Linked DNA regions of Mus musculus. The protein of the gene in region 1 binds, or shares a complex with, the protein of each later gene. Links are inferred from orthologs where the notes say so. Each region holds a gene or a part of one and is shown in the gene's direction. Other genes may lie near its edges. The genes, in order: Smarcd1, Smarcb1, Smarca4, Smarca2, Phf10, Arid1a and Dpf3.

Region 1 (4,182 bases):
TCCCAAAACAGGACTTATGGGCAGATCACCTGTGTACGTTGGCCTGGAGCCAGAGAGCAAGGCTTTGGCATCTTTGAGACCTCTTGGTTCTCAAGAGTTGTTTAGAGATCAGAACTCCCCAGAAAGAAACAGGGCAAAGCTGAGAAATGTACACTGGCTGGGGGGGCAGCAGGAGGGGCTCTGGGTGACGCATGCCTCTGGTCTAATAAACTGGGTTTCAACCATCTCTTCAGTGTTGGTTTTCTGTTTGTTGTTTGGTTTGTTTTGAGACAGGGTTTCTCTGTGTAGCCCTGGCTGTCCTGGAACGGCTCTGTAGTCCAGGCTGGCCTCGAACTCTCACAGAGATCCTCCTGCCTCCCAAAATGCTGGGATTAAAAGCCTGAGCTGCCATTATCCTGCCCAGTGCTGTTTTTAGTTGCAAACTGTGGGTGTTACCTTTAGAATGGAGCTTGCCTTGAGAGCCACACAACTAGAGTAAGGGAATTTGAGTGGTAGCCCGGTGTGGTGGTTATACCTGTAATTCCAGCAGGTAGGAGATGGAGCAGCTATCTTCCATTACACAGTGAGTTTAACGCTAGATTGGGCTACACCAGACCCTACATACTTGATCAGGTAAACACTGATCCTGCTGGGAAAAGACAGGCTCAGGATTCGTCTGATCACTGGGCAGGGGACCAGCAGTTATCTATGGCAACAAATATCCAGGACTCTTTGGAGAAAAGTCACGGGAAAAAACGCATCAAAATCTTAAGTTAAACGTCTGAGGTGAAGGGTCCCGAGCCTTCTCTGTGTATCCCTGGCTGTCCTGGAACTCACTCTGTAGACCAGGCTGGCCTCGAACTCAGAAATCCGCCTGCCTCTGCCTCCCAAGTGCTGGGATTAAAGGCGTGCGCCACCACGGCCCGGCATGGGTTTTCTCTTGCTGATTTGTCTTTGCCACGACATTGATCTCCTTCGAGTTCTACTTTTCCCGAACGAACAAACAGCACGTTTTCCTCTTTAGTACCCGGAGTCTGAGCAGTAGGAGAACGAAAAGCAAGGCAACCAGAATGCTTTGGAGAGGTAAATGCACTGGGCCAAGGTGAAGCATCACTCCAGCCGCCAGCCGGATGGGCTGGGCTCTCTGCAAGGCTTTTTACCGTCCTCCAACCGCGTGGAGGCGCTCGCTCCCGGCACCTCTTTATCCGCACACCGCTTCTCTATGGTGCTCCCTCCTGGCCCGTGAAGGCGGGAGGGAGTGGTCAGCACGCCTTTCCCGCTAGTCGCCCCCTCTAGCCCGTAGTCTCGCTGCTCCGAGCCGCCTGTGCCCGCCGGCGGGCCGGGCCCACAAACAGCCCAGGCGCTCGGGGGGCGCGCGGGGGGCGGGGGGAGTTCCGGTTCCGGTTCTTTGTGCAGCTGCAGCGGCGGCTCCGGGAAGATGGCGGCCCGGGCGGGTTTCCAGTCTGTGGCTCCGAGCGGCGGCGCGGGAGCCTCAGGAGGAGCGGGCGTGGCGGCTGCTCTGGGCCCGGGCGGAACTCCCGGGCCTCCCGTGCGAATGGGCCCGGCGCCGGGTCAAGGGCTGTACCGCTCTCCGATGCCCGGGGCGGCCTATCCGGTGAGTGGGACAGGAGGAGGGGCGCGCGGGCCGGGGGCGGGGCCGAGCGAGGGCGGAGGACTGACAGGGGTGAGGGAGAAGTGGGAGGGACTCCCTGGGGAGGGGCTCGGGCCGGGAGTGGAGGTGTGTGGGGGGGGAGGAGGTTAGCATCCTTACCTGCTCCTGGCGGCATTGTTTCCATGTGAGGAGTGAGTGTGGAACCAGGGTGGGCGAAGTGGGCCCTGGGATGGTCATGGAATGCAGAGGGGAGTGGGCAGCCCCCGTGTCCCCAGGAATACCCAGGCTGTTATAGCTGCAAATGGAGGTCAGCTTTAGAGGAGACAGTAGCTAGTAAAAAAAGAAATGTAGGGCTGACTAGACATGTCTGGTGAGTCAGATCCAGCATAGACCAGAAAAATTGAGTATAATCTAGTTTTTAGACTATATGCAATGAAATCACTGAAGGTCCAGTGACTGTATTTCAAAGAAGCAAAGGACTGTCTTGTTGTCCCCCCACCCCACCCCCAGCCCTAACCCACTCCTGAAATCCAGGCTGCCACCATTTTTCCTTTCTTGGTGGGGCTAGCAAGGAAAAGTATGACATTTCTGGGTCCTCTCCCTTCTGTAGAGACCAGGTATGCTGCCAGGTAGCCGAATGACACCTCAGGGACCTTCCATGGGACCTCCTGGCTATGGGGGGAACCCTTCAGTCCGACCTGGTCTGGCCCAGTCAGGGATGGACCAGTCCCGCAAGAGACCTGCACCTCAACAGATCCAGCAGGTCCAGCAGCAGGCGGTCCAAAATCGAAATCACAAGTAAGATGACCCCTGGGGGTGAAGGAAAGAAGGGTATGGGGGAGAGGAGGCCTGTGAGGATGCTGGTGGTGGGCATGCAGAACCAGGAAGTCAGCGCTGTGGCACCAAACGGTGCTGCAGGGACTAACAGGGCCTCATGATGCAGTGGAGTTTTGGTGGTCATGGGAGAGGTAGCGTCTTTAAATGGAGAGTCATTTCGTAGGCCTTGGCTGTAACCATAAACAAAGGTGCTCACAACACTGCTCACGTTCTGACTAGTTCCTATCCCAACCTGATCACAGTATTTATTCTGAACAGTGCAAAGAAAAAGAAGATGGCTGACAAAATCCTACCTCAAAGGGTGAGTGCAGCTGCAGAGGTCTCCTTGAAGGGGTAGTGGCTTTGAGAATAGAAGTGGTCAGAACGAGGGCTGCCCCATCCCATCTCTGTCTTTCTGTTCCTAAGATTCGGGAACTGGTCCCAGAATCACAGGCCTACATGGATCTCCTGGCTTTTGAAAGGAAACTGGACCAGACTATTATGAGGAAGCGGCTAGATATCCAGGAGGCCTTGAAACGTCCCATCAAGGTAACAGGACAGTACCAGGCTGAGGGTCAAGGGAGGGGCCCAGGTCTCTCTCCAGCTCAGGATGGAAAAATCAAAGGCACAGCACAGCTCTCTGTGGCATTTAAATTGCATCTTTCCCTTCCGCCTACAAACCAGGAATTACATTAGGAGCATAGGAGTCTAACAGCTGGCAGGGAAAGGGGCGGGGGTGGGGGGTTGGGGGGGAGCTATCCAGGGCTCTAGACAGAAATAGACCCGTGCGCGCTTTTTGCTGTAACCACTTGCTACCTTGGGAACATGCCACTTTGCACAATTTTGTCTCCCTAGTCCCCTGGTGCATTCACTTGCACCCAGGCTCAGGTCGGGACTGTACACTTCCGAGTGGAGTCTCTGTCCCCTGTAGTGAGCCAGCCAGTGAGGAGTCACTTGGGAGTTTTAGGGGACCTTTACTACCGAAGCTCCACTGTCGATCCTGTTTCTGCCTTCCTCAGCAAAAACGGAAGCTGCGAATTTTCATTTCTAACACGTTCAATCCGGCTAAGTCGGACGCGGAGGATGGGGAAGGGACGGTGGCTTCCTGGGAGCTCCGGGTAGAAGGCCGGCTCCTGGAGGACGTGAGTTCAAGGTCCACTGTGGTTGGTGCTCAGGGAGGGAGCTGCAGGGGTGGCACTGTGCCGGGTGCTTGGTGCGGTGTGCTCAGCAGGAAACCTGACTGCAGTTCACCACTCCTGCTGGGAGCTTCCGGGAGGGGGCTGGGGGGCTGTGTTCCCTGCATACAAAGACAATGGTCCTTTGTGTCTGCTTCCTCAGCTGCACGGTTTTGTCCTGGGGTCTGGGTTGCTGTTGACTTGGCCCTGGTGATGCTGCCCTTTGGATTTAGCAGTATCAGTGGATGATCTCAGTGGTCCCCATCCCTGCCCGCCACCCATCTGTGCTGAGCCTTTGAGGCCATGTTTCCTCCCTTGAATCCTTGAGGTTATTTCTGTGTTCCCAACTTTCCTTGGAGGTACCACAGTTTAAGTGTGAGAGTCCCCCAAAGGCTTGGCTCTCTGTTGCTCCAAGGGGATCATCAGACTAATGAGCACCCCCAAACTCTCCACCCAGCAGCTCATGCTCACCCAGTGCTGCGCTCTGGCACTATATTTAGCTGTGCAAGTGAGCTCGTTCGAGTGCACTTTTGCTGGAGAACCAGAGCCTCCTGTGGGTAGTCCGGGCTGTTTGCTGGTCATGTGTTCTGTCCAGATAAA
Region 2 (4,244 bases), on another chromosome or scaffold:
ACTGGCTGTCTCAGCAAAAGCAGTATCATTTTATCAGATCATGCCTAACTACTGGGGGTGGGAGCTGAGGGAGGCATGGTCTCATTATACATCCCTGACTGTCCTGGGACCCACAGAGGTCTGCCTGCCTATGACTCTGGAGTTCTGGGATTAAAAGTGTGAGCCACCCCTGGCCCTTAACCCTCTGGTTCCCATGGCTGTGAGATCAGTGGGCAAACTCCTGGTTACCACAGCCTTTCCTAGTTCTTTAACATCTCCTTCATCATGACCCCAGTCACAATTGCAGTCTCATTAGACTGACCCTTATGAAGCTGGCCACTGTTTGTCCTGCTGCTTTCAGAGAAGTGTTTGTATTTTGCACATCCCACCATGCCCCCACCTCCCCTACACTAGGTTGTTAGTCCCTTTGCTCCCATACACAATGTCACTTTTACTTTAATGTTCTGTGGAATACATATTTTATGTATCTAAGGAAAATCTAGAAAGCACAAATGAGAGAAAACGTATTTGTCTTTCTGAGACTGGCCTGATTTGTTTAATATGATATCTTAGTTGCATCCATTTTCCTGAAAACAATGTAATTTCACTTTTGTGGCTGAAAAACAAAAAACACATGTACACACATTTCACACTCTTTTTTGTTTTCTGGGACAGAGTTGCTCAACATATCCCTGACTGTCTTGGAACTGAAGCTAAAAGCTTGCACCACCACACCCAGCCTAGACTACATTTTCTTCATCCATTCCTCTATTGTTGAATAGCTACCTAGGCTAGGCTATAACTTAAGCTCCTGTAATAGTGCTACAATAAACATTAAACATTTTGGAGTCACGGCTCTGTTCAACAGGGGGTGGACTGCTTGGACACGTTCCAGAAGCACTGTCTTCTCTCGGGGCTGTTATGCCCCAAGGCGGGCAGAGGCACAGACCAGGGCTGGGCTTGTGGGCACCAAGCTTGCAGAGGTAAGGAAGGAATGCAAGTGCCTCCTCCCGTTCATCTGGCACATCACCTAGATCTTTGAATAGTACCAACCTCCATCCAGTATTGTCATTCTTCCCATCCCTACTGCCTCGGGAACTGCTGTTGGCCTGGAGTGGATAGCTAGCTATTCCTAACGCACTTTCGGGTGGAAAACCTGAGGCGCTAGCGTGGGGTCGCCATGCCCACCCAGCTTCCCTCGGGCTTCCAGATAGAGCGGTCCTTCTCCTCGCTTAACGTCTCATTTTTTTCCTTCATCCCGGGGCGGAGTGCCAGCTCTGGCTATGCGACTAGGAAAGCTACCGCCTGAGTCAGGGCCTCAGTGGCTATTTCGGTCGCTGAGAGGTTTTCCTCCTTACCCGCCCAGGGAGGAAGCCTAGGAAGCAAAAAAGAACTCGGGTCCCTTTAAGGGCTTGCGGGAACGCGCTCGGCCTTGAGTCGCGCAGGCTGCGGCGCGCACGTTAGCGTCAGCTTCTCCACGCATGCGCACCGAGGGCGGCCTGCTCGTTGCAGAGACGGCCAAGGAGCCCAGTAGTGACACGAGCGCTCGCCCGGTTCGCCCGGCTTGCCCTGCCCGACCTTCACCTCCAGGCCTCCGTTCCTTTCGGTCCGACGCGCCTCGGCCCCGCCCTAGCCCACCGGATTCTTTCCAGCTCGACCCCGGCTGCCGGTTTCCCCCGCCGCCATGATGATGATGGCGTTGAGCAAGACCTTCGGGCAGAAGCCCGTCAAGTTTCAGCTGGAGGACGACGGGGAGTTCTACATGATCGGCTCCGAGGTAGCCCGCGGCGCGTTCTCGGCTTCCCGGGCAGCGGCTGGCCGGCTCGAGTCCCGGGGCGGGCTAGTGCTCCCCGAGAGCGCGCCTCCATTCATCGCGGAGGCGGGCGCGTGCTCGCAGCTGGGGCGTGGCCTGGTGGGCGTGGCCGGTCCCGCCTGGACCGTCCTGGGTTTTCTTTACCCACTTAACGTTGTTCAGACCCTAAGCATCTGTCCTAGCTTAGAGCGTCGAGCCGGTACACTCTAGGCAGATGGGGAAAGGATGTTCGGGAAGCCCCTGGGCGCTTGGAAGTGGAGGTGCAACACTGCCCTTGAACCCTTTGGCAGCTCTCGTGCACCCCACTGCCCCGGTCTCGAAATCTCTACTTGTAAGCCCGAAGCTTAGGAAAGCCTCTTCCCCTTTGTGTTGTTGCTTGCGAGGTGGACTGCAGAGAGCTTTTATGATGTTTAGAAAGTGATTGGACATGTTTGCTTTTGAGTGGATTGAGGCCCTGAGGTCGGAAGCACTAACGTTTTGGAGATCAGTGAACTAATTTTGAGTTTTTATAGGGGATAAATCTGAAGGGTCGCTAACCCAGAACCCAGAGCTAGAAGAGACAGCTTCTGTGCAGTCAGGTGGACAGGGTTCCTTAGGATCGCACCTGTGCGCCAGCCACTACCCTTTTCACAGGGGTCGCATATCAAAGATCCTGCATATTAGGTATTTACATTATGATTCGTAACTGTAGCAAAAATTAGAGTTATGAAGTAGCAACGAAAAAAGTTTATGGTGGAGGGGGTCATTACAACATGAGAAACTGTATTAAAGGGTCACAGCATTAGGAAGGTTGAGAACCACAACCTTAGAAAATCCCTTCAATTAACCCTAGAGACCAGCCAAATCTTTGTGTTTTTTTGTTTTTTTTGTTTTTCTTTTCTTTTTCTTCTTCGAGACAGTTTCTCTGTGTAGCCCTGGCTGTCCTGGAACTCACTCTGTAGACCAGGCTGGCAGAAATGTGCCTGCCTCTGCCTCCTGAGTGCTGGGATTAAAGGCGTGTGCCACCACTGCTCAGCTGAAATTTCTTTCTTTCTACCTTTTTTTTTTTTTTTTTTTTTTTTGGTGCAGATTGTCTATCTCAAACTAACTTCATTCCATCTAAGGGCAACCCCCAACCAGTTTATGTCTCTCCTCCCCTCCTCTCTTTCTTTCTTCCTTCCTTTTCTTTTCTTTTCTTTTCTTTTCGATTTATTTATTTATTTATTTATTTTATGTCTATGAGTACACTGTAGCGGTCTTCAGACACCCCAGAAGAGAGCATCAAATCTCATTACAGGTGGTTGTGAGCCACCACGTGGTTGCTGGGAATTGAACTCGGGACCTTCAGAAAAGCAGTCAGTGCTTTTAACTGGTGAGCCATCTCACCAGCCCCATCCCCCCTTCTTTTTGAGACAAGATCTCATCGTGTAACTGGCTGCCTTGTAGCTCCACTTTGTAGACCTGGCACTTGAACTCACAGAAATCCTCCTGCCTCTGAGTGCCAGGATCAAAGCACTTGGTGTCACTACACCCAGTTTATGTGGCTTATTTTTTTTTCTTTCTTTCTTACTCTTTTTTTGTTTGTTTGTTTATTAAGTGCACTGGGCTGCACCTTTAATCTGAACACTCAGGAGGCAGAAGTAGAGGGTGATTTTGAGTCCAGCCTGGCCTACGTAGTGAGATCTTGTCTTGAAAGGAATAATAATAACAAAAAGATAAAATTCAGATGTGTGAATGTCATCCAGTAGACATGTAACATGTGTAAAGAGGTAAGTGCCCACCCTGGAGAGCTAATGGCATTTCAGACTGCCAGCCGTTACCTCTGGCAGCTATTCAGTGACATACACTCCATTTTATTAGTGTGTCGGTTGAATCAGGTTGTGAGACCAATGTTGTCAGAAACATCCAGACTTAGAGTTTCCGTTTTCACCATCTTCCATTAAACAAAAAACTCAAGCCGCCAAGACTGATCACACTGTCACCTCTGTGCCTCTGTTCCACAGTGGCTGTGCTGGGGACATCTCTCACAGCTCAGAAGGGTCCTTGTTGGCCACTAGGCATTTGCTCAAGTGCAAGGTGTGGTGCGTATGGCAGTTAAGGACTTTAAATAGTCTATGCAGAAGAGTTTCTTCAAAGATGTTTATTTACCTGAACTGACCAGTGAAGGGGTAAATCTGGCCTCAGCCCTAGTTTTGAAAAGAAAATTCTCATGTGGTGGAGAGACTGAAAGACAGCTCCTGGTCAGGTGGGAAGAGCCTCGGGAGGTGTAGTGACAGCTTGCTCTGCCTCCTGACCCTTGCCCTCTTTCTCTGTCTTCCTCAGTTCTCATTTCTCATGCTGGGGAACCTAGAGCCTTGTACACGCTAAGCACATGGTCTTGCACTGAGCGCGCCTTCTTGGCTGGTTTTACTTTTCTTAAGCATCTGAGATGCTTACACTGGAAATCTTGTGTTTTGAGGTCATTGGCACGGCA
Region 3 (4,120 bases), on another chromosome or scaffold:
TGGTATCTTGGGTCTGTAACCCTAGCGTTTAAGAGGCAGTAGCAGGCCAGTGATTTAATGGCCTGAAACATTCTTTTTTGTTCTTTGTGGCAGAAAACACCCTTTTGTTTGTTTACTTAGAGAAGGTCTCACTTTGTATCCATGGCTGCCCTGGAACCTCACTATGTAAAAGACCAAGCTGGATTGGTACATGCATGCAGCACTCAGGAAGGAAGATGTCTGAGTTCGAGGCCAGCTTAGTCTAGAGCAAGTGCCAGGACAGCCACGGCTACACAAAGAAAACCCGTCTTAAAAAACTAAAGACAGCCGGGCGTGGTGGCGCACGCCTTTAATCCCAGCACTCGGGAGGCAGAGGCAGGCGGATTTCTTGAGTTCGAGGCCAGTCTGGTCTACAGAGTGAGTTCCAGGACAGCCAGGGCTACACAGAGAAACCCTGTCTCGAAAAACCAAAAAAATAAAAACAAACAAACAAACAAACAAACAAACCATAAAGACACACAACAAAAACAAGTAACACCTTGGTAACAAACTCAAGAGATCCACCTGCCTCTGCCTCCCGAACACTACCAAATATTTTAAAAACTCAACCAGAGGCATGAATCTACAGATTTGGACAGAGTTCTATGCTCCAAGGCTAATGGCTTTCTTGGAAATCAGAAGTTAAATTGTGAATATGGCTGTTTCTACCTCACACTCTGTATTTTACTTATTCATTCGGTTGCCTCCCCACAGACTGTAATAGAGGGCAGCAAGTAGCCGATAGCAGCTCAATAAATATTTGTAAAGCTAATTACTGGGCCTCAGCAGGTTCTGCAGGAAATGTGGCCAGGGCAGAGTCTTGCAGAGCAGGCAGGGCAGCGCCAGAACCAGGATCAAAGCGTTTCCCGGGCCTGCACTTAGCACCGCGTGGGCTCTGCCGGTCCTGGGATAGCTTGGCCATCTCTCCGCTTCTCTTTCCTCCCTGGGTGCTCCAACTGCTCCGAGCCTGAGGACTTTAATTTCATCCTTACTATCTCCCATCTGGACCACCCACCCCCTCCCCCAACCTTTAAGCGTCGCCGCAGTGCTACCCCCACTGCGCATGCCTCCCGGCTTGAGGCCCAGTTTCGTGCCTGGGAGGTAGATGTGCGCTTGCGCAGAGCCGCCCCGAGCCCCCCACAGGGGCGGTGCACCAGGATCTTGTGCAGCCTCTGGGCCCGCCCACCTCCTCGCGCCCTCAAAGGACTAGTACGCGTGCGCACAGCGAATGGCTGAGCATGCGCGCAGAGAGCGGAAGGGTGGGCTGGCGCGCGCACGAGGCCGGCCGGGCAGCGGAAGCAGGGCAAGTGGAGCGGGTAGACAGGGAGGCGGGGGCGCGCGGCGGGCGCGTGCGGTGGGGGGGGGTGGCCTGGCGAAGCCCAGCGGGCGCGCGCGCGAGGCTTTCCCACTCGCTTGGCAGCGGCGGAGACGGCTTCTTTGTTTCCTGAGGAGAAGCGAGACGCCCACTCTGTCCCCGACCCCTCGTGGAGGGTTGGGGGCGGCGCCAGGAAGGTTACGGCGCCGTTACCTCCAGGTAAGGAATGGAGGCTCCCGGGCGGAACCAGGCTCCCGGGGCTTGGGCAAGACGGTTTGAATGAAGCGGAGGCGCCGGGAGGGGGAGGGGGCAGCTGGGCGACCAAAGCGGGGTCGCGGTACGGCGGCGCCTGAGGGTCAAGAAGCCCTGCGCGCGCGTCTCAGGCCGCAGTGCAGCGAGACCGCGGCGGCTTCCTGACTGTGGCCGGCGAGGCGGGTGGCTCTGGGCCGCGTGAAGGCCGCGCGCGCGTTCTCGTAGGGTCTTGGACAAAGCTTCTTCCCTTTGGCGTTTCAGAGATCCAGATCCCCCACTTTAATTTCTGTGGACCCCAACTTTGAACAGTGGCTAGGTGTCGTGGGCTTTTCTGGCCTCGTTTGTAACGGGTGGGATCCCAATGCCCTGTGGTCGGGCGTCGGGAGCAACATTTTTACCTCAGTTATTGATGCCCAGTGTAGCTTGGACACAGTCATGAGCCCTCTTCGGTCTCCAGACCTTACTTTCTTCATGTTTATTATTTTTTTTTTTGATAAATTTCATTATTGCAGATTTTGAAGGAAAAATAAAGAATTTCTTCCATGGCTTCAAAATGTTTGCCTAAAAAGTGAAAGATGCCTGGGGACGTTTGCTCTCGGCGGCATTGTTTTTCTTTTGAGTCCCTTGGCCCTTCCCAGTTTTTAAGATAGGGTTTTTTATTTTAAAACACCGAAGGCAAGTGTTTTGTGCGGGTCCGAAGACATCTACTTGATCCCTTTTACCTCCAGTGACTCCTCAGGAACTAGAAACAAGTTTTTGTTTGAACTGACAGACAGCCTTTGAGTTTGATGCCCAGCGCCGGCTGCTGTCAGCTTGCTGTGTGGCCTTAGGCGAAATCGCTAATCTCGCCAAACCTCTTGGTTTCCTCCTTTGTACAAGGGAATTACTTTCGCTGTTAGGATTGGGAAGAACTAGGCAAATCGTTCCTACATCATCATTATTCTGATTTTGAAGACAGACTCTTATAACCTAGGCTGACATCCAGCTCCTCATGTAGACCAGGCTGGCTTCATCCTCACTTTGCTGCCTCCACCTCCCAAGTGCTGGGATGATGTTCAGCCAGGCTTCCTGCCCTGTTCTTTGTTCTTGACTGGTCCAGCAGATAGTTGAATCTTTTACTTTGTGTTACATGTCTGGTAGGGGAATGGGCAGTAAATATGGGGACGTTTCTCCTTGGCCTGCATGTGTATTAATTCATTAAGAAGTTTTGGGTTTGTTTTGATTCTCCTGGCCCCCTTCTGTTCTCACTGTATAGTCCTGGCTGTCCTAGAACTCTGTTACCGGCTGCCCTCAAATTCACACAGATTGGCCGCCTCTGCCCTCTGAGTACTGGGATTAAACTCTTGCATTAGCAAAGCCCTTAAGGCCACTTATGTTTTATTTTTATTTATTTATTATTTTTTATTTTTTAAGATTTATTTATTATTATATCTAAGTACACTGTAGCTGTCTTCAGACTCTCATTTCGGATAATTGTGAGCCACCATGTGGTTGCTGGGATTTGAACTCAGGACCTTCTAAAAGGCAGTCAGTGCTCTTAACCACTGAGCCATCTCTCCTGCCCTTGTTTTTTTTTTTTTTTAATTAATTCAGTTTTGTTTGTTTTTTGTTTTTCCAGACAGGGTTTCTCTGTATAGCCCTAGCTGTCCTGGAACTCACTCTGTAGACCAAGGTGGCCTTGAACTTAGAAATTTGCCTGCCTCTGCCTCCTGAGTGCTGGGATTAAAGGTGTGTGCCACCATGCCCTGTTTATTTGTTTTTTTGAGACAGGGTCTCTCTGTGCAGCCCTGGCTGTCCTGGAACTTGCTTTATAGACCAGGCTGACTTCTAGCTGAACTCAGAGCTGCCTGCCTCTGCCTGGGATTCACACTGAGCCACCAGTGCCAAGCAGTTTAAAGCATTACAATTCCTTATTTATTTGTGTGTGGAGGTCAGAGAGACTTTGCCGGGGTCATTTCTCCCCTCCTTCATGTGGTTTCCCGAGATTGAACTCAGGTAGTCAGTTTTCAGTGCAAGTTACCTGTTGAGTCATTTCTCCTTTCCCTAAGTCTTAAGTGTGTTGAATTTTTGAGGTGTTGATCAAAGTTGATCCTGTACATGCTAGGGAAGTAAGTGTCCTTCCACCAAGCTAGTATCCTGCAAGCATTGTTTTGATTTTGCTATTTTTTTATTAATGTGGGTTTTTTGTTGTTGTTTGTTGTTTTGGGTGTTGTTAAGCTTGGAATCCATGGCACTGTGCATGGTAGACATGTATTGTATGTATGTATGTATGTATGTATGCATCTCTCTAACCCTTTGGCCTGCCGTTTAAGCCTCATACCCTATCTTGTGAAGGGACAGAGTGGTTGCCCAAGGGAGCAGTGGTGGGCATGTCTAGAAGGTTGCATGAAGGAGGAATCTTCATTCAAAATTAGGGAAGATGTGTCTCCCCTGGCCCCATAGCTGGGAGTGGAGCGATGTCATCACAGCTGCTGCTCTGTCTGTCTCCAGCAGGCAATAATGGGACAGGAGAGGGGTGGTCCTTGGGAGGGATGA
Region 4 (4,002 bases), on another chromosome or scaffold:
CTAGGGTCCGGCAGACATACTGTATTTCAAGGAAAACTGAAACACTAGCTCTCCAAACCACTACGTGCAGGCAAATTGCAGTTTGTAGCCTTAATTGGTCTTAAATGTGGGGTGGAAGAGAGAGGAGACTTCGGTCTGTAGAGATTGAGATTTATTTCCCTTTTTAAATCAAAAGCAGATCCCATGGTTCAGCTGCCCCCTGACTCTCCCGCCCTACCCTCGCGGGTCGTTCTCTCCTCCCACATTTTTATGTATATTTTATTCGAAGACGACAGGTGAGGGGAGGTGAAAGTGCTTCGTGCCTTTCCGAAGTAAACAGAGGGGTTAGGAGGGTTTATCTGGGTTTATTTATTTACTAGGCGGCCGGCCTCTCAGCTGTTTCTCTTCTCTGGCATTTGGAAGCTTGCAGTCCTTTAGGGATGAGACAGATTTGGCAAGCTCGCTCTTTGTGCCGCCTCCCTTTTCACTGGGGGCTGGGGATGGGTGGGAAGAACGCAAATTTATGACAGCCTTGAGAGAAACGGGGAGGAGGCGGGGGTCGAAAAAGTTTCAGCTCGTATGATAATGCCCATTCCCTCCCACCCCCGCGGCCAACACTGCCACAAACAGCTTTGGTGCCACCCGGAGCCCTGCCCCCGCCGTCCCCTCCCTTTCTCTCTGCAGGCTCGAGCTGGCAGGCGCAGGCACACTTAAATTCCAGCACGGTCTCCACATTCCCCAGAACTACTACGCTCGATTACTACGGCTGCCCTCCCCTTCGCTTCGGGGGGTTCCCCCAGTCTCCTCGGAGAAGCTCGGAAGGCTACTGCCAGCTAAAGGATGTGCGGCTCCCGAGTCCAGCAGGGCTGCGGGCTGGTTGCTTGTCCTGCGCAGTTTCTCTGCTCCAGGCACAAACACGGCGGAGAGCCGGCGCCTCGCAGACACACACAGATCCACGCATACAGTAGAGCTGTCTAGATCCACATTCTTGCACACCGCCCCCTGCTCCCCCCGCGCGCTCCCGGAGTCGCTGAGCAGGGCGAGTGACAGGAGCGTCCCACCAACCCGCGCCGGGCCGGGCAGGGAGGAGCGGCTCGCGGGGCCAACTGCGGCGCGTCTTCCGGCGCCCGTGGAGGCGGCGAGGGTGGGACGCGGGGCGGAGCCCGAGTTTAGGAAGAGGAGGGGACGGCTGTCATCAATGAAGTCATATTCATAATCTAGTCCTCGCTCCCTCTGTTTCTGTACTCTGGGTGACTCAGAGAGGGAAGATTCAGCCAGCACACTGCTCGCGAGCAAGGTAAATATAACTTACAACTCCTTTCTCTTCTCTCCACGGCTCCGGCCTTACAGCAGCCGCAGCGGCCGCCGAACCCCTTGGGCACCGCGCCGCCTTCGCCCCGGATTATGCATCCTTATCCTAATCATTATTTATTGTGCATGCTGGAAGACCAAAACAAACAGGCGGGCCAACCGCTACAACAACAAAAAAGCCCGCCTCTTCCCCGCGGGCCTCAGGTGGAATGCTCTAACCACAGCTCCCGGGTGGCGATAAAAGAAACAAAGTTTCAACCGAACCTCGCCGTTCTAATAATAACAGTAATAATTACTACTTCGAGGGGGCAAGGAGAAGAAATCCCAACATGTCACAGCCTTGACCCTGGGCAGGTTGACAGTGATGCGCTGCCAACTCAGGGTTGCAACACACTCTCCGCCAGGTTGCATCCCCCCCCCCCTCCTATCCCCTAAAAAGCAGAGGTGGGGAGGGCTAGTGGCAAGAGGAGAGGGGGATTTGGGAACTCCGGGCCGGGGGGCGGAGGGGTTGGGAGGCGGGGGACTGGAAACGCGACAGTTCACCCCGAGCCATCCTCCCCGTTAGAGTTGGAAGGGAACAGGAAAGGAGGGAAGGAGGGTGAGGAGCCCGGGCTGGCGGCAGGGCGCCAACCAACACGGCTGCTATTCGCCTCCCGGGGACTTGTTTAAAGGGCTCCGGCTGCGGGGACGAGAGCAGATCTTGGCGGTAGTAGTCTGGGATGGCGCACTGAGCGGGCGGCGGCCACTACCACAGGGTTGGTGCCTTGGGGCTCCGAGGTGTCACCTCCACTCCCGGGGTTCCCTAGGGCAGGGAAGGGAATGTTGATTGGTGACAGGCCTTTAGGTGAAAGGGTTGGCCCCGGGGGCTATGGCCGTGGCGCCGCGGACCCTCTTGTCTGGTACCTAGAGGCAGCGCGGGCTAGGATGTTGAAGTTCGGGGTGTCCAGCCCGGGTCTCATTACAGAGGGTGGAAGGAAGCCCCAAGGAAAGAGGTCCGAGGTGTCCACTAGGCTCTGTTAGCCTCCCCTCCCCTCTCTGGGTTTGTTTTCTTTTGCTTGGTGTCTTTCCTTGGCAAGCGCCGAGGAAGCTGCAGACGCGGGGCGCCTGGGATGGTCTGAGTGTCAGGGGCGCACAGGGACCCGGGAGAGCCACGGCGGCTGAGGGCTGGGGAGGCCATGATCCGGATAATCCTCTCTGCCTGACTGTCACAACAGGACCCGCACGCACCCGGGCAGCGGCCGCGGCGTTCGCCCGGGAAGGGGAAGGGCTGCAGTGGGGAGGAAACAGGGGGTGGCGAAGGAGGGAGGCGGGGAGAGCCGGTGGGAGCCTCCTCCTAGCGATGACACTCACCCCTTCCTTCTTGCTCCCTGCTTTCGAGTTTGCTTTATTCCCATCCCAACATAGTTCACCCCTTCCCTTGCCTCCTCCTCCTCCCCCATCGCTGGGCTGCCTCCCCTCCCATTGGCGTTGCAAAACAGGGCCACGCCATCTGCATAGGTGTCGCGATGTACTTCCCCAAATCACCGGTCCAGCGCGCCAGCCCCTGGGCGCCCTCCAGCCACCAAGCGCACACCAGCACAGTGCCCCCCGGTGCCCCGCACCAGGCCGCGCAGCCTGGACGCAGTGACACCGCTCCGGGCGGGGCGCAGCGCTGAGGACTCTAGGGGACACCCGCGCTCCGGCCCGGGCGCTCACGCTGGTTTCCGGTACCTGCAGGAGATCGCCGGGTGCGGGTGTCTGCATTCACCCCTGCGGCCTGGATTACATTATTATTTTTTTATACCGGTTGCTATTCGCTGCGGATAGTGGTGAGCGCCGGGCTGGTAGGGCTGCCTGGGGGATGGGGGCGGAGGGAAGTTGGACACCAATCAACCCGGAAAAAAAAAGTTTGGCAGTGCTGCAAGTCGGATGGAGGGGCTGGAGGGGGCGGCGGGCTGGCGTGAGTGTGCAGTGCGCTAGGGACCAGTGAGTGGCGAGCTGCGCGGGCTGCGTCTCTAGCCGGAGCACTCCCGGGAGCCGGACGCAGAGCCGGCTGGGTCTGGCGGCGGGAGGCGGTGGCGGTGCGTGCGGCGGCGAGGGCGAGTGCGTGGCGCGCGCGAGCGGCGGAGAATCAGGAAGTCACCGCGGCGAAGCGCACAGACGTGTTTGATCGCCGTGACATGACGCGCGCGAGGGAGGAAGAGGAGGTGGCGGGGGCCGGGCCGCGGGCGCCGGCCTAAGCCGCGCTGTGCACACCGCTCCCTCGCAGCCCCGGGCGGCGCCAGCTCGAGAGCCCTGGCCGTTCAGCGTCGCCCAGGTAAGGAGCCGGCTCCTCCCGCTGTCGCCGCCGCCGCCCGCTGAGCTTTCTAGGTCTTTCTCTGCCGACCCCCCTCCCATCTTTGGCTCGCCTTCCGTGCAAAGTCAGGCAGGCAATCGATTGCAGGGAAAACTTTCCAGCGGGAGGCACTGCGCGGGGGAGATGGAGGCCTCGCGGGTGGCTGGCGTGGTCAGTTCTTTCTGCTCCAGGTCCGGAGAGAGTGAGTCGCTGTGCCCTGCGGCTGTTGCACGTTCAAACTTCGGGCCTAAATGTGCTTCCAACTCTCGCAGGATTTACTCCACGAAGAAAATAAACACCCCAAGCGGTCCACTCTCTCGCGGGGGCCCTTGGGGGTGTTTAAAGCGAAGGAGGATGGTGTAGGAGGGGAGAGAGCGAGGGCGTAGTGCAGAATCATT
Region 5 (3,958 bases), on another chromosome or scaffold:
ACATCAATATAAATCCTGTCCAAACACCATTGGACAATTGGCTTCCATTTCCAGGAATTCCCAATCCTGTGTCCTGCAGGTGACTGTGCTGACTCTGTCATATGATTTTGGGAACCTTCCCTATGTTCTCCTTGCCTGACTGGGTTCCGTTCAACCTGAGTGCTGCTGTGACTTTTCCCGTGGCCATGGGGGCCACTACGCCAAGGTCACAGGAGAAGCAGTTGTAGAACAAATGAGCCAAGAGCGCCTTGGGGATCCTGGGGTGTGTGGAGTGAAGATGGAGAGGTGGGGTGGAGAAGTCAGAAAGGACTCAGGAGAAGGGGATCTCAAAGAGGGAGGAGGCGGAGCTCCTGGGGTGGTTGACCCTAAGGGCTGCGAGAGAGGAGGAAGTGGGCTGAGGACACTAATCCTTCATTTACAGAAGGGAGCGAGGACCCTGGTGGAGAAGGGGAGGTCGCCGCGGCTGTGGAGACCCCGGGCTGAGAGGAGGGGCTGGGGACCGGTAGGGGTGGGGTTGGTGGGAGGATACCGCGCGGTAGGGACCCTCAGCTAAGGTGCTGATGATCGGGAGTGGGGAGGACACGGCGGCGTGGTGGCGACCCCGGGCTGAGGGGAGGAGCTGGGTACGGGGGAGGGATTGGAGAACAAGCGTGGTGAAGACACATCTTTGAGGGGAGGGGCTAGGGACCCAGGTGGGGACAAGGCAGGCACCGCCGACTGAGGACCCCCGGCTGACGCGCAGCGGAGGAGGGGAGGGGGCGGGACCGCGGCGGGGCGGGGCGGCGCGGAGCCGCGGCTGACGCGGAGGGCCGGGCCGGGGGCGCAGGGAAGGGGCGGCAGCGAGCTCGCCAGGCGGCCAGGAACCCGGGTGGGGCCGGGACCGAGGCGGTGGCTGGCCAGCGGAGCTCAGGCCGGGCGCGGCGCGCCGGGTGAAGGCGGCAAGGCGGCAAGGCCCCGGCCGAGGCCGGCGGAGCCGCGCAGCTGCGGCCGGCTGACGTGAGCGGCGTGCGGGTCCCGGCCGGCAGCGCGCTGGCGGCCATGGCGGTGGCGCTGGCGGGCCGCGGGGCGCGCGGCGGCAGGGGCCGGCCCCCGGGCGGGCGGGCGGAGGGGGCGGGGCCGGGGCGCCGGGCGGCCCGCGCGACAGCGGCGGCAGCGGCGGCGGCGGCGGCCGCTGGGACTAGGCGAAGGCGGCGACGACGACGGAGGCGCGGGGCGCTTGGGCTGATGGCAGCGGCCGGGCCCGGGGCGGCGCTGTCCCCGGGGCGGTGCGACAGCGACCCGGCCTCCCCCGGAGCGCAGTCCCCAAAGGTGAGCGGAGCGCGCTGCCCAAGGGGCAGCGGCCCAGGCCGGGCTCGGGAGAGAAGAGGAGACCGGGCGGCGGGTCCTGGAGCAACAAGTGCGGCGGACAGTGGGCGCGGACGTCGGGGAGACCTGCGCGGCGGGGTGGGAAGTTGTCCGGGAATAGCTGGGACCGGGGGACTCGGGAAGAGTGCTTGAGACGAAGCGCCCCCAGCCTGGGAAAGTCGGAAAAGTTGGCGGCCTTGGGGATCTCAGTCGGGGAGACGCTGAGCGGGACGTGCGCTCGGGGTCCCGAGTTGGCAGAACGTGGTTTCACACCCACAGACCCGGCCAGCCGAGGTGGCCCCCGCCACGTGCCGGTCCTCCCTGGTGGGGTCTCTGACTGCTCGCAGGGGGCTGCTGGCTCCCTGTCCTGACCGAGGATGGTGCGGAGGGGAGGGCCTTACCTGGAACGTAGCCCTTAGGATTCCTACAGTTGTGAGCTGGTAAACTCTGTGTCAACTTCCGTTATTGTTTCTTTTCGAGAGGATCATTGTTTTTAAGTAAAAGTATTGACATACAGAAATCCTTAAAATGTCCACAAATTAATAAAATAGTGCTTAAAATTAACGGTGTCAAGCCAGTATGGACCATGAATACAGTGAAAAACATACTAAGAAATTTAATTATCTTTCAACTTCTTGATTGTTAGCTTTAAAAGGGAATATTAAGTCTACTTGATTTCATTCTTGAAGAGTGAAAAGGGGAATGATTTCTATGTTCTTTTTTAATTTGGAAAGTAATTTTAGTAAATTCCTAGGTGCTGGAGACATAATGAAATATAAAGTCACTGCTAATCACAACGTTAACATATATCAGACAGCTATGTGCTACCTGGCTCTTATGTGATCACTTCACTGCATCCTTGCATCAGCCACCTAGGCTTTAGGACTGGGGAGAAGCTTGCAGCACACAGCTGGTGGAGGGCAGTGCTCAGTAAGATTCTCTGGCAGCCCGCAGTGCCATGCTGACTTGGCATGCTAGCCTGTGCTGCCTTTTCATTCCCTTCCGTGGGCCTTTATTGAAATTTATAGTAAGAGTAGTAGTGTTAGGAGCTATAGTACCTTGATTTAAAAAAAAAATAGGAGTTTAAGCCTATTAATTAACGTAATGAATTGTTTTTAAAACATTTGATTACTTATTTCCTTAATGGAATGGCTCAACAACCTATATCTCCTATGAGTTTATCACAAAGTGTTGAATTTCTGCCGCAGAAGAAAAGGAATGTAGTTAGACGTGGTAACCTGTATCCAGTCCTTCTTCATCTCCAAAGTAGCTAATTAAAATGCGCCTCCGGGGGGCCAGTTGTAAGCTGAAGGGTACTATGAAACTTACTAGTATTTATTTCCCAGCTCAAATAGGAAGGCTTGCTTTGATTTTTAAAGTGGTGTGGCTACTAAAAAGCAGATGTTTGAACACAATCTAGTTGGTAAGAAAGTGAAAGCAGAGTACATTTAAAATACAGTTGAAAATTTAATTTCATTTCGATTAAAGGTCAGATTTTAGTTTTATTCATTCTTAAATTTTCTAATTTTTTAATCATTTAAATGTACAGGATGATAATGAAGATAACTCAAATGATGGGACCCATCCATGTAAAAGGAGGCGAATGGGCTCAGGAGACAGCTCAAGAAGTTGTGAGACTTCAAGTCAAGATCTTAGGTACTTTAAGGTTCAGTAGTAACTTTCGTAGACTTTTGCTCACTTCTTCTTCTCCTGCCTATTCCAGGCAGCAGAAACAGTTATTAAAAATTATATGTGTTGGCTGGAGAAATGGCTCAGAAGTTAAGAGTGCTTGCTTAACTGGAGGTTGGTTAGCAGCCCCACATCTCATCTCATAAGCTCCTGTAAACTCTGGAGGATCTCATGGTCCATTCCGGCCTCCACAAATGTCTGTATAGAGAGCAAACAAACAAATCTTCTAAAAAAGTCATATACTATCAAAGTAGGTCTCACTCCTGATAACTGTTAAAAAGTTATGGTAAAGTAGGTATATAAAACTCACCATTGTAACACTTTTTATATATAAAGAGTATATTTCAGTACAACCATCACTCTCGGCCCTTTCCAAAACTTTAGTAACTCAAACTGCCTAACCCTCCAGTACCTCCCATCCCTTCCTGCCTCCAGCTGCTGGTTACCACAGTTCTACTTCCTGCCCTGAGTATGAACCAGACAGTACCTGCCCCGTGTTATCTGGCTTACCCATAACCATAGTATCTTCAAGGTTCATCGTGTTGGAGCTCCTTAAGTCTGAACAATATTCCATCGTATGTTCTGCTACATTGTGCTCATTCACCTGCAGGCTGGGGTAGTTAATGCTGAAGTGAACACTGGCATTCAGACCCCTGTTCTTAATACTCTGGTATATAACTAGAAGTAGAAAGCTGTACCACACGTTGATTCTGTCTTCAGACTTTTTAAGGACCTTCCATACATTTCCATAGCAGTAGTACCAGTCTGCATTTCCACCAACAATACACCTTGCAACATTATTTTTGCTCATTTTGCTGATAGGCGTCCAGAAAGACATAAGGTGATCACCCACTGTGATTCTGTGTTGTATACCATGGCTAGTGGTGCTTGCCGAATATTTTTTAGGTGCTCTTTGATCATTTGA
Region 6 (3,500 bases), on another chromosome or scaffold:
TCGCAACAACAGGGACCTCCTTCAGGACCGCAACAAGGACATGGGTACCCAGGGCAGCCATATGGGTCCCAGACTCCACAGCGGTACCCCATGACCATGCAGGGCCGGGCTCAGAGTGCCATGGGCAGCCTCTCTTATGCACAGCAGGTAGGTGATGGATTACCTTGAGCTTTTTTGCTGTCCACAATTGGTGTTTGAGGTATAAGGTCAGAATGGCTTCTTGATGCCCATGGATTTGCTGGCTTAACTGCGTCCGCACCATTGTATGTATGTTCCATGTCTGTTTCAACATATCTTGGGGTTTAACCCAATCTATCTCAGCCCCTGTCTTCCCTTGATCTTGCTGGTCTGCCCTTGGGAGATGAAGTGGTACGAAGGCCAATCTGTGCTGCCTGCCTTGTGGTGAGGCCGCTCTTCTTCTTTCTCACAGACTTTTAAGATAAGCTGCCTGGGTCAAAGAGAATGTTTAAGGACTTGGAGAGAAAGAGGACAGGCCTGTGTGAGCAGTGCAGTGAAGCCTCAGAGGGGCCTCCTCCAGCGCAGCCATCTGACCAGCTATCCTGGGCTTTTTTTAAAATTTGGCTTGTTTTTCAGTGCAGAGAATCAAACCCAAGGCTTCAAGCATACTAGATAGGACTCTGCCTCTGAGCTCCATCCACATCCCTGCATAGTCACCTTTTAAAAAATTACAGTATTATTTACTTGGAGGTGAAGGCAGGATGCCAGGTCTCATAGCAAAGGACATTGTTGTTTTTTTGTGTTGGCAGATTTTCTGCCATTTATGTCTGAGTAACACACCAGAAAAGTAAAGGACAGTATAGCGAGTCTGAGATGATTTCTAAAGACAAACTGTAGAGCAAAGGACATCGTTACACACACCGACTAGATGAAACACACCTACTTTATCTTCCCCTCTCTCCCTCCCTCTCTTTCTTCTTCTCTTCTCTCCACCCCCCCCCCCCATCTCTTCCTTCCGCAAGGTTTCTTTGTATAGCCTGGCTGTCCTGGGACTCATTGTATAGACCAGGCTCACCTCAAAATCAGAGATCTACCTGCCTCTGCCTCCTGAGTGCTAGGACTAAAGGTGTGTGCCACTACCGCTCAGCTATCTTCCTTCTATGAGAGAACTGAGAGGTGACATGGAGTTCTTTTCTTGGTTTGCTTGTTTGTTTTTTGTTTTTTGTTTGTATTTATTTATTGGTTGATTGATTGAGGAAGAATCTTACTTACATTCCAGGGTGGTTCTAACTCTAATATATCCCAAAAGGACCATGAGCTTCCTGATCTTCCTGTGTCTAGGCTACAAGTAGTGGAATAGAATCAGAGGCAAGTTTCATCCTGCCTGGTGGATGTGGTTTTGAGGACTTCATGAATACTAGGCAAATACACTGAGCTATATAGCCCCTAAATAATTTTTAAAAAGAATTATTTATTTAATATATATGAATATGCTGTAGCTGTCTTCAGACATACCAGAAAAGGGTATCAGATCCTATTACAGATGGCTGTGAGCCACCATGTGGTTGCTAGGGAATTGAACTCAGGACCTCTGGAAGAGCACTTGGTGCTCTTGACTGTTGAGCCATCTCTCTATCCCACCCCTGAATAATTTTAAAATAAAAATTAAATGAAAGAGTACCAGGGTAGCTTAGTGATTTGTATACTATCCACACTACTAAACACTGAGTCTTCAGTTGTTTGAACCAAGCTCCTAGTGCCTCTTTATGGTGGTTAGGAAAAAATTCCTAACATAAAACCAATTTAGGTCATGATGAAAAGAATATGTTCACTAGGGGAAAATAACTGTTCTTGAGCTCGTATGAGTTGTGTGAATATTAAGAAGCATCAGTTTTCAGTGAGTGGATTCAGTCTTCAATAGTTTGACCATTCTTAGAGCTTAGTCTCTAGATGGGTGGTAGAAGGAAGGCCCCTGAGCCTAACTTCATGGAGGTGAGTCACTTTAAAAGGATGTTTTCTTTCTTACAGATTCCACCTTATGGCCAGCAAGGCCCCAGTGCGTATGGCCAGCAGGGCCAGACTCCATACTATAACCAGCAAAGTCCTCATCCCCAGCAGCAGCCACCTTACGCCCAGCAACCACCATCCCAGACCCCTCATGCCCAGCCTTCGTATCAGCAGCAGCCGCAGACTCAGCAACCACAGCTTCAGTCCTCTCAGCCTCCATATTCCCAGCAGCCATCCCAGCCTCCACATCAGCAGTCCCCAACTCCATATCCCTCCCAGCAGTCCACCACACAACAGCATCCCCAGAGCCAGCCCCCCTACTCACAACCACAGGCACAGTCTCCCTACCAGCAGCAGCAACCTCAGCAGCCAGCATCCTCGTCGCTCTCCCAGCAGGCTGCATATCCTCAGCCCCAGCCTCAGCAGTCCCAGCAAACTGCCTATTCCCAGCAGCGCTTCCCTCCACCACAGGTAAGACAGACGGATGGTCTGCCTCTTGCCCTCCATGTACTCCGCCAGAGGCAGCTTACATAAGCTTGGTGTTTTGAGAGCTTTGCCATATAAAAAAAGAAATTGGGTAAATGTGCTATCAGGTTTTGGTTGTTTTTAAAATTAGTTGGGTCCACTTATTGATAAGATACTAAATTTTGGTTAGATTTCAGCCCTTAACCCCAAGAAATGGCTCCTCTGGGGTCACCATAAATAAAAAACAATTCTATCAAATGCCACTGTTGACATGAATTTGTTTGGAAGTTTTGTTTGTTTGTTTGTGTGCTTTTTGTTTTGAGATAATGTCTCACAATGTAGCCCAGACTGGCCTTGAATTTGCTATCTTCCTGTTGGAGCTTGCCTAGTGCTGGGATCACAGTCGATCACTGCCATATCAGACTCACTCTTAACATTCTGAAGAGCCATTGCTTAAGGTGTTGTCTTTTCAAATGATAGATGCAGTTGTGCTTCTCACATGTGCTGCCCTATGTGAGGAACGGTACAGCTCTTTCACCCTCTGGGTGCTTTGTATTTTGTACTTGTTTGCCTTGTACCTGGTGTGTACTGATGCGCATGGAGGGCAGGAAATGATGTTAGAGCCTCTAGAACACAAGTTAGAGTTGGTTGTGAGTTCTGAGCCTTTGTGTGGATGCTGGCTCTACAGGAAAAACAGGCTTATTTATCTCTCCAGTTGCAACCTGGTTAGTTGGTTGGTCTTTTTTTTTTTTTTTTCTTGTTTTGAGGCAGGGTTTCTGTGTAATCCTGGCTCCTGTGGAATTCAGAGACCAACTTGCCTCTGCCTGCCAGGTGCTGAATGTAAAGGTGTGCACCACCATTGGAGCAGCCCGCCCTCACAGCTTTGTTGTGTTTCCTTGCAGGAGCTTTCTCAAGATTCATTTGGGTCTCAGGCATCCTCAGCCCCCTCAATGACCTCCAGTAAGGGAGGGCAAGAAGATATGAACCTGAGTCTTCAGTCAAGGCCCTCCAGCTTGCCTGTGAGTGTCTCTAATCCCCGTACAGGGTGATCTAATACAGAGCAACCAATT
Region 7 (4,082 bases), on another chromosome or scaffold:
TGTAATTGTATTTTACTTTATTCATCGAGAGTCGTAAAAGGCGAGAGCAGGTGGAATTGTGAACTGCAATTCAGCATCTCTCGGTTTCCTTTTCACTTCCCAGCCCCCAGCTATTTGACCTGATTAAACAGCCAAGGGGGCCATAGCCCGGCTTCTATAAGCTAACGATGCCTGTGCCCTCTAAGTGATTTCATGAGTTTTCGCCCACTCCGAGTCTCCCTGTGCTCCGTGGAAGTCTGAGTTCGCAGAAGTCTCTCAGTTTCTTCTGGGGTTTATCAGATTCTGAGCAGCCGCATACTGGGGAAGCCAGGAGTCACGTCTGAACATTCACTTGCAAATTCTTTTCACCTCCTATCTTAGTCCAGAAAGGTGACGCCTGAATTCTCAGAGCCGTTCCCAGAGGGGACTCAGGCAACACCTACCTCAGGCTCTAACAATTTTTGCATAGTTACTGACTTCCCTAGCTGCGTTTCCTAAAGTTGCCTCAAAATTTCCCCAACCTTCTGCCTAAAAAGCGCCAGGTCTCACTTCGCTCCCAAGCTGGCCATGTCAGATCAGTGTGAATCGTTGACAGTGGAGAACGGTGGTCGTAGGGGACCGCGCGGAGTGACCACCCGTGAATTACGTAACAAAAGCCGTGGCTGTCCGCAAGCCTGACACTGAGACATTCCAGGAGGAAGGGAGTTGCTGTCCTGGACTCTCCAGTTCTCAGAAACCGCCCGGGGAAGGTGGCTGAGATCAAGAAAACACTTCGGGAACAAGAATATTGAACAGCCGCGGAACCCAGAACATTATTAGCAAACAGTGGAACACGAGTAGTAATTTCTTGGAGGAAACTGCAGCCTTCCAACTTTTTGCACTGCAACACGGTGGTGTACAAGGAGCTCGGGGGTTAAAAACCGTGATTTACAAAGCCCAGAGCTAATGAATGGGGTTAAGTGGTTTTGTTGGCACTATGTAAATATTCTTGTCCAGGAGCGCAAACTCTGCAGTTATTTAGCAAAGTAGGGACTCCAACTAAGCGAGAATGCTCTCCCATGTTGTCTCCACGAGTTCCAATCTAAAAGGGCGCTACTAACACGGTACTGCCCCTTTAAGACCTGCTCGCTCTCGGGCTCTACAAAAGGGAGTGACCTCTGGGCTTTGACAGCTCCCCTAATAACTACCACCACGCAGGCCCCGCCCACTTGGCGACCAGCCGCGCCGATTGGCCGGTAGGCCGGTATCCCGTGCTCTGATTGGCCTGCCGCTTCCCCTGAGCGAACCTTTAGAACTCTGAGACAGACAATATTCTGTTACATTGTAGCAAAATGGCGACTGTCATTCACAACCCCCTGAAAGCGTAAGTAAGACTAAAAAATGTACATATTCCGCGTGGTTTCAATATGAAAAAAAGGCGCCTTGTGGAGCGCAGCCGGCGCCCGGCTCTCGCAGACACCTCCCGCTGCGCCCGGGCTCCTCTTTTCTTCCTGCTCTTACTTCTTCATCTTTTTTTTTCCTCCCAGCGCGCAGAAATGTCAGGAGATGCAATTAACAAAAAGAAAATTGTTACATTTGTGTTCTGCTTAATTGGCTGACCGGGACCGGGAGGGAACACAGAGCGGCGGCGCCGGCTCAGGAGCTGCGGGGGTCGTGAGCAGCCCGGGTCTTCACGGTTCTCGGAGTCCCCTGCCTCTCCCGGCGCCGCGCGGAGCTGGCTGAGGCTGGCCAGAGCGCGGGGTTGGCTGAGCCTGGCCGGAGCGCGGGGCAGAGACCGCGTCGTGCGCTCGGCTGAGCCCTGCACTCCAAGCCCGAACCTTCCCGGCCCCGCTGCTCGTCCACCCAGGCGGGCAGACGGACCGCAGCGGCTGCGGAGTTTTGCAGGGCGTTCGCTCTGCCTTCCGAGCTCTCGCAGGGAGTTTGTGTAAACCTTCCGGAGTTGGGAGGACAGCGCGCGGAGCGGCGGGTCCCGGGAGTCCTGGGGCCCAGGTGCTTGCCCCGGGCTTTTCCACTCCGGCAGCCGGGGATCAGGCAGGCGCTCCGGGCGGTCGCCGGTGTGTCTGTGTATTTGTAGGCTAACTGGCTCTAGTAAATTAACGATCCGGGTTAACTTGGGGTTGATATGGAGGCAGGGAAACTGCAGGTCTTATAAATGGTGTGCTTGCCTGCTCTGGGTGAAAAGCCGAGGCGGTGGAGGCGGCGGTGGAGGGCTCTGGCGACAGCGAGGGGCAGGTGCCTCCCGGAGACTTTGAGCGGACACAGGGGGGCGGGCTGCGCAAGGACTCGCGGGGGCCGGTTCCCGATCGGAGCTGCCTGCCCGCCGGTCTTCCTTCCTTCCTTCCTTCCTTCCTTCCTTCCTTCCTTCCTTCCTTCTTCCAGTCGGTGGACTGAATATGAAGCCGCAAGTCCGCGGGTGATCGCGGAGCCGGGGGTGGCCTCGGAAAACTAGTGTGGCTCTCAAGGGGCGCTATTGGCAGGCATGTTGGCAGAGGGTGGATCCTTGGGAATCGCGGCGCGGCGTGGGCACCCAGTGGGTGCCCGGTGTACTAGGACTTCCCCGCCCTGATGAAAGCCAGTGGGAGTCGGAGGGTGAGCGTGGGTGTTTAGTGCCAATTCTTCCCGGTGTGTGTCAGTGGTCGATCTTGGCTCTTTTAGCTGCGCGCTACAGCGTCCCTGGCTATGGGAGTCGAAAACACCGTTCGCTTTGGGGAGCAGCAGGGCGGCGGCGAGAGAGTGTGCGTGGGATTCCTAGTGCCAAGAAACCCGTAGGGAGAACCCGCTGCGTTTGCACCAGCCAACAACCAGGAATAGGGCAGGGATGTCCCAGATCTTGGAGTTTCCATGAGATATTGCTGTAAAGACGGAGGCTGAGCTTGATGCGAGTTCCTGGCTCCCGTTCTCGTTCGGAAGCTCAGCTACTTTGCACTCGCGACAGCGTCTCACCGAAGAGAGAAATTGTTTTATGGCAGAAGAAATGGGCGTAACTTCCCCGCTCCTCGCCGACTCCCGCCGCCACACCGCTGGGGCTGGGAGTTTCTCCAGAACCCACACACAGCTGATTTGCAATTTCCTCATTTCCAGCCGAAATCACGTAGCCGAGCTGATGCTGCTTGGTAAACTCAAGTCGGAGAGATCTATTTGCTATGTGTACAGGGTTCTTCATTGGCAAAGCGGCATCCTTGATGCCCGGGAGCGGGCTTACGCTCGGGCGCGCGCAGGAGCTCCACACTCCTGGGTCCCCCAGATCTTTCCACTTTTTTTTTTTTTTTCCACAGAAGAGTGCATGTATAAGAAATTGTGGGGGAGAAGGAACAGAGAAGCTAGAAGGTGGCCAATCAGTTAATAGAACTAGTTCAGATTTACACTTGTATCCCTTAATAATTGGAAATACTTGCCGTGGGATGCATTTGTAACTCCGTCTTGGCTCACGCACGCGGACGCTCACACAACACCCCTGTCTGCCTTTCCTCAGAGGAAGTCGAATGGTCACTTATAATTAGCCGCCCCCTTTTGCATCCAGTCCTCTTCCCCTGAGGGCTAAGGGTGTAAATAATAACCCCAATCGGTCAAGCTATTTGCACCCTGGACATTTTAAAAACTCCGCACGCAGGAGCACACACATCGTTACCGGGAGACTGAGGCCATCTGCTTTATTATTATTATTATAAAAACAACTTGTTTAATAAAACATCTTATACATGCCATTTGTTTCTAGAAGTTGCTGATCAGGAAACAAAACACACGTGAATAAATTATGCATGGGCCAAATTAGAACAAAGCATAGCAACCCAGCAAGCTGAAGGGATGGATGGGGGGGGGGCAGGGAGGAGGAGGAGTGAGGAGAATGGCTTGGAGAGCTTATGTGTTTATCCTTGTGTGCCCCTCCTGACAATGAACCGGAGCTCCAAACTGCATTAGCATTTTCTCCGGGTGCAAGCAGTCTTTCTCGTCTTAAAAAGGCAACATCACGGACGCCCCCTACAGAAGAAACTGGTCACACAAAGATTTCCTCTTGGGCCTGGGGATAAGCAGCAGTAGTTACGGTGTTGGGAAGAAGCCAGCTCGGGTTTCTTTCATGCCACCCTGTGTAGGGCTATGCCTTA

The links.
Region 2: Smarcd1 (region 1) and Smarcb1 share a complex: the UniProt entries of both Homo sapiens proteins name them as parts of the BAF complex. The link is inferred for Mus musculus from reciprocal best matches to the Homo sapiens genes SMARCD1 and SMARCB1.
Region 3: Smarcd1 (region 1) and Smarca4 share a complex: the UniProt entries of both Homo sapiens proteins name them as parts of the BAF complex. The link is inferred for Mus musculus from reciprocal best matches to the Homo sapiens genes SMARCD1 and SMARCA4.
Region 4: Smarcd1 (region 1) and Smarca2 share a complex: the UniProt entries of both Homo sapiens proteins name them as parts of the BAF complex. The link is inferred for Mus musculus from reciprocal best matches to the Homo sapiens genes SMARCD1 and SMARCA2.
Region 5: Smarcd1 (region 1) and Phf10 share a complex: the UniProt entries of both Homo sapiens proteins name them as parts of the neural progenitors-specific chromatin remodeling complex. The link is inferred for Mus musculus from reciprocal best matches to the Homo sapiens genes SMARCD1 and PHF10.
Region 6: Smarcd1 (region 1) and Arid1a share a complex: the UniProt entries of both Homo sapiens proteins name them as parts of the neuron-specific chromatin remodeling complex. The link is inferred for Mus musculus from reciprocal best matches to the Homo sapiens genes SMARCD1 and ARID1A.
Region 7: Smarcd1 (region 1) and Dpf3 share a complex: the UniProt entries of both Homo sapiens proteins name them as parts of the BAF complex. The link is inferred for Mus musculus from reciprocal best matches to the Homo sapiens genes SMARCD1 and DPF3.

Annotation. Positions count from the first base shown.
Region 1 is NC_000081.6:99,700,905-99,705,086, forward strand, and holds the start of Smarcd1 (SWI/SNF-related matrix-associated actin-dependent regulator of chromatin subfamily D member 1), read left to right. Parts: upstream 1-1,382; 5' UTR 1,383-1,417; coding exon 1,418-1,594; exon of another isoform or gene 1,595-1,886; intron 1,887-2,201; coding exon 2,202-2,389; exon of another isoform or gene 2,390-2,598; intron 2,599-2,686; coding exon 2,687-2,729; exon of another isoform or gene 2,730-2,833; coding exon 2,834-2,956; intron 2,957-3,426; coding exon 3,427-3,549; intron 3,550-4,182. UniProt on the Homo sapiens protein: Involved in transcriptional activation and repression of select genes by chromatin remodeling (alteration of DNA-nucleosome topology).
Region 2 is NC_000076.6:75,918,815-75,923,058, reverse strand, and holds the start of Smarcb1 (SWI/SNF-related matrix-associated actin-dependent regulator of chromatin subfamily B member 1), read left to right. Parts: upstream 1-1,444; 5' UTR 1,445-1,663; coding exon 1,664-1,756; intron 1,757-4,244.
Region 3 is NC_000075.6:21,614,849-21,618,968, forward strand, and holds the start of Smarca4 (transcription activator BRG1), read left to right. Parts: upstream 1-1,320; 5' UTR 1,321-1,552; intron 1,553-4,120. UniProt on the Homo sapiens protein: ATPase involved in transcriptional activation and repression of select genes by chromatin remodeling (alteration of DNA-nucleosome topology).
Region 4 is NC_000085.6:26,603,958-26,607,959, forward strand, and holds the start of Smarca2 (probable global transcription activator SNF2L2), read left to right. Parts: upstream 1-1,202; 5' UTR 1,203-1,276; intron 1,277-1,291; exon of another isoform or gene 1,292-2,092; intron 2,093-2,193; exon of another isoform or gene 2,194-2,553; intron 2,554-2,616; exon of another isoform or gene 2,617-3,098; intron 3,099-3,184; exon of another isoform or gene 3,185-3,586; intron 3,587-4,002. UniProt on the Homo sapiens protein: ATPase involved in transcriptional activation and repression of select genes by chromatin remodeling (alteration of DNA-nucleosome topology).
Region 5 is NC_000083.6:14,958,461-14,962,418, reverse strand, and holds the start of Phf10 (PHD finger protein 10), read left to right. Parts: upstream 1-1,158; 5' UTR 1,159-1,224; coding exon 1,225-1,308; intron 1,309-2,893; coding exon 2,894-3,000; intron 3,001-3,958. UniProt on the Homo sapiens protein: Involved in transcription activity regulation by chromatin remodeling. Belongs to the neural progenitors-specific chromatin remodeling complex (npBAF complex) and is required for the proliferation of neural progenitors.
Region 6 is NC_000070.6:133,719,486-133,722,985, reverse strand, and holds part of Arid1a (AT-rich interactive domain-containing protein 1A), read left to right. Parts: coding exon 1-147; intron 148-1,986; coding exon 1,987-2,436; intron 2,437-3,332; coding exon 3,333-3,449; intron 3,450-3,500. UniProt on the Homo sapiens protein: Involved in transcriptional activation and repression of select genes by chromatin remodeling (alteration of DNA-nucleosome topology).
Region 7 is NC_000078.6:83,484,937-83,489,018, reverse strand, and holds the start of Dpf3 (zinc finger protein DPF3), read left to right. Parts: upstream 1-1,282; 5' UTR 1,283-1,310; coding exon 1,311-1,342; intron 1,343-4,082. UniProt on the Homo sapiens protein: Belongs to the neuron-specific chromatin remodeling complex (nBAF complex).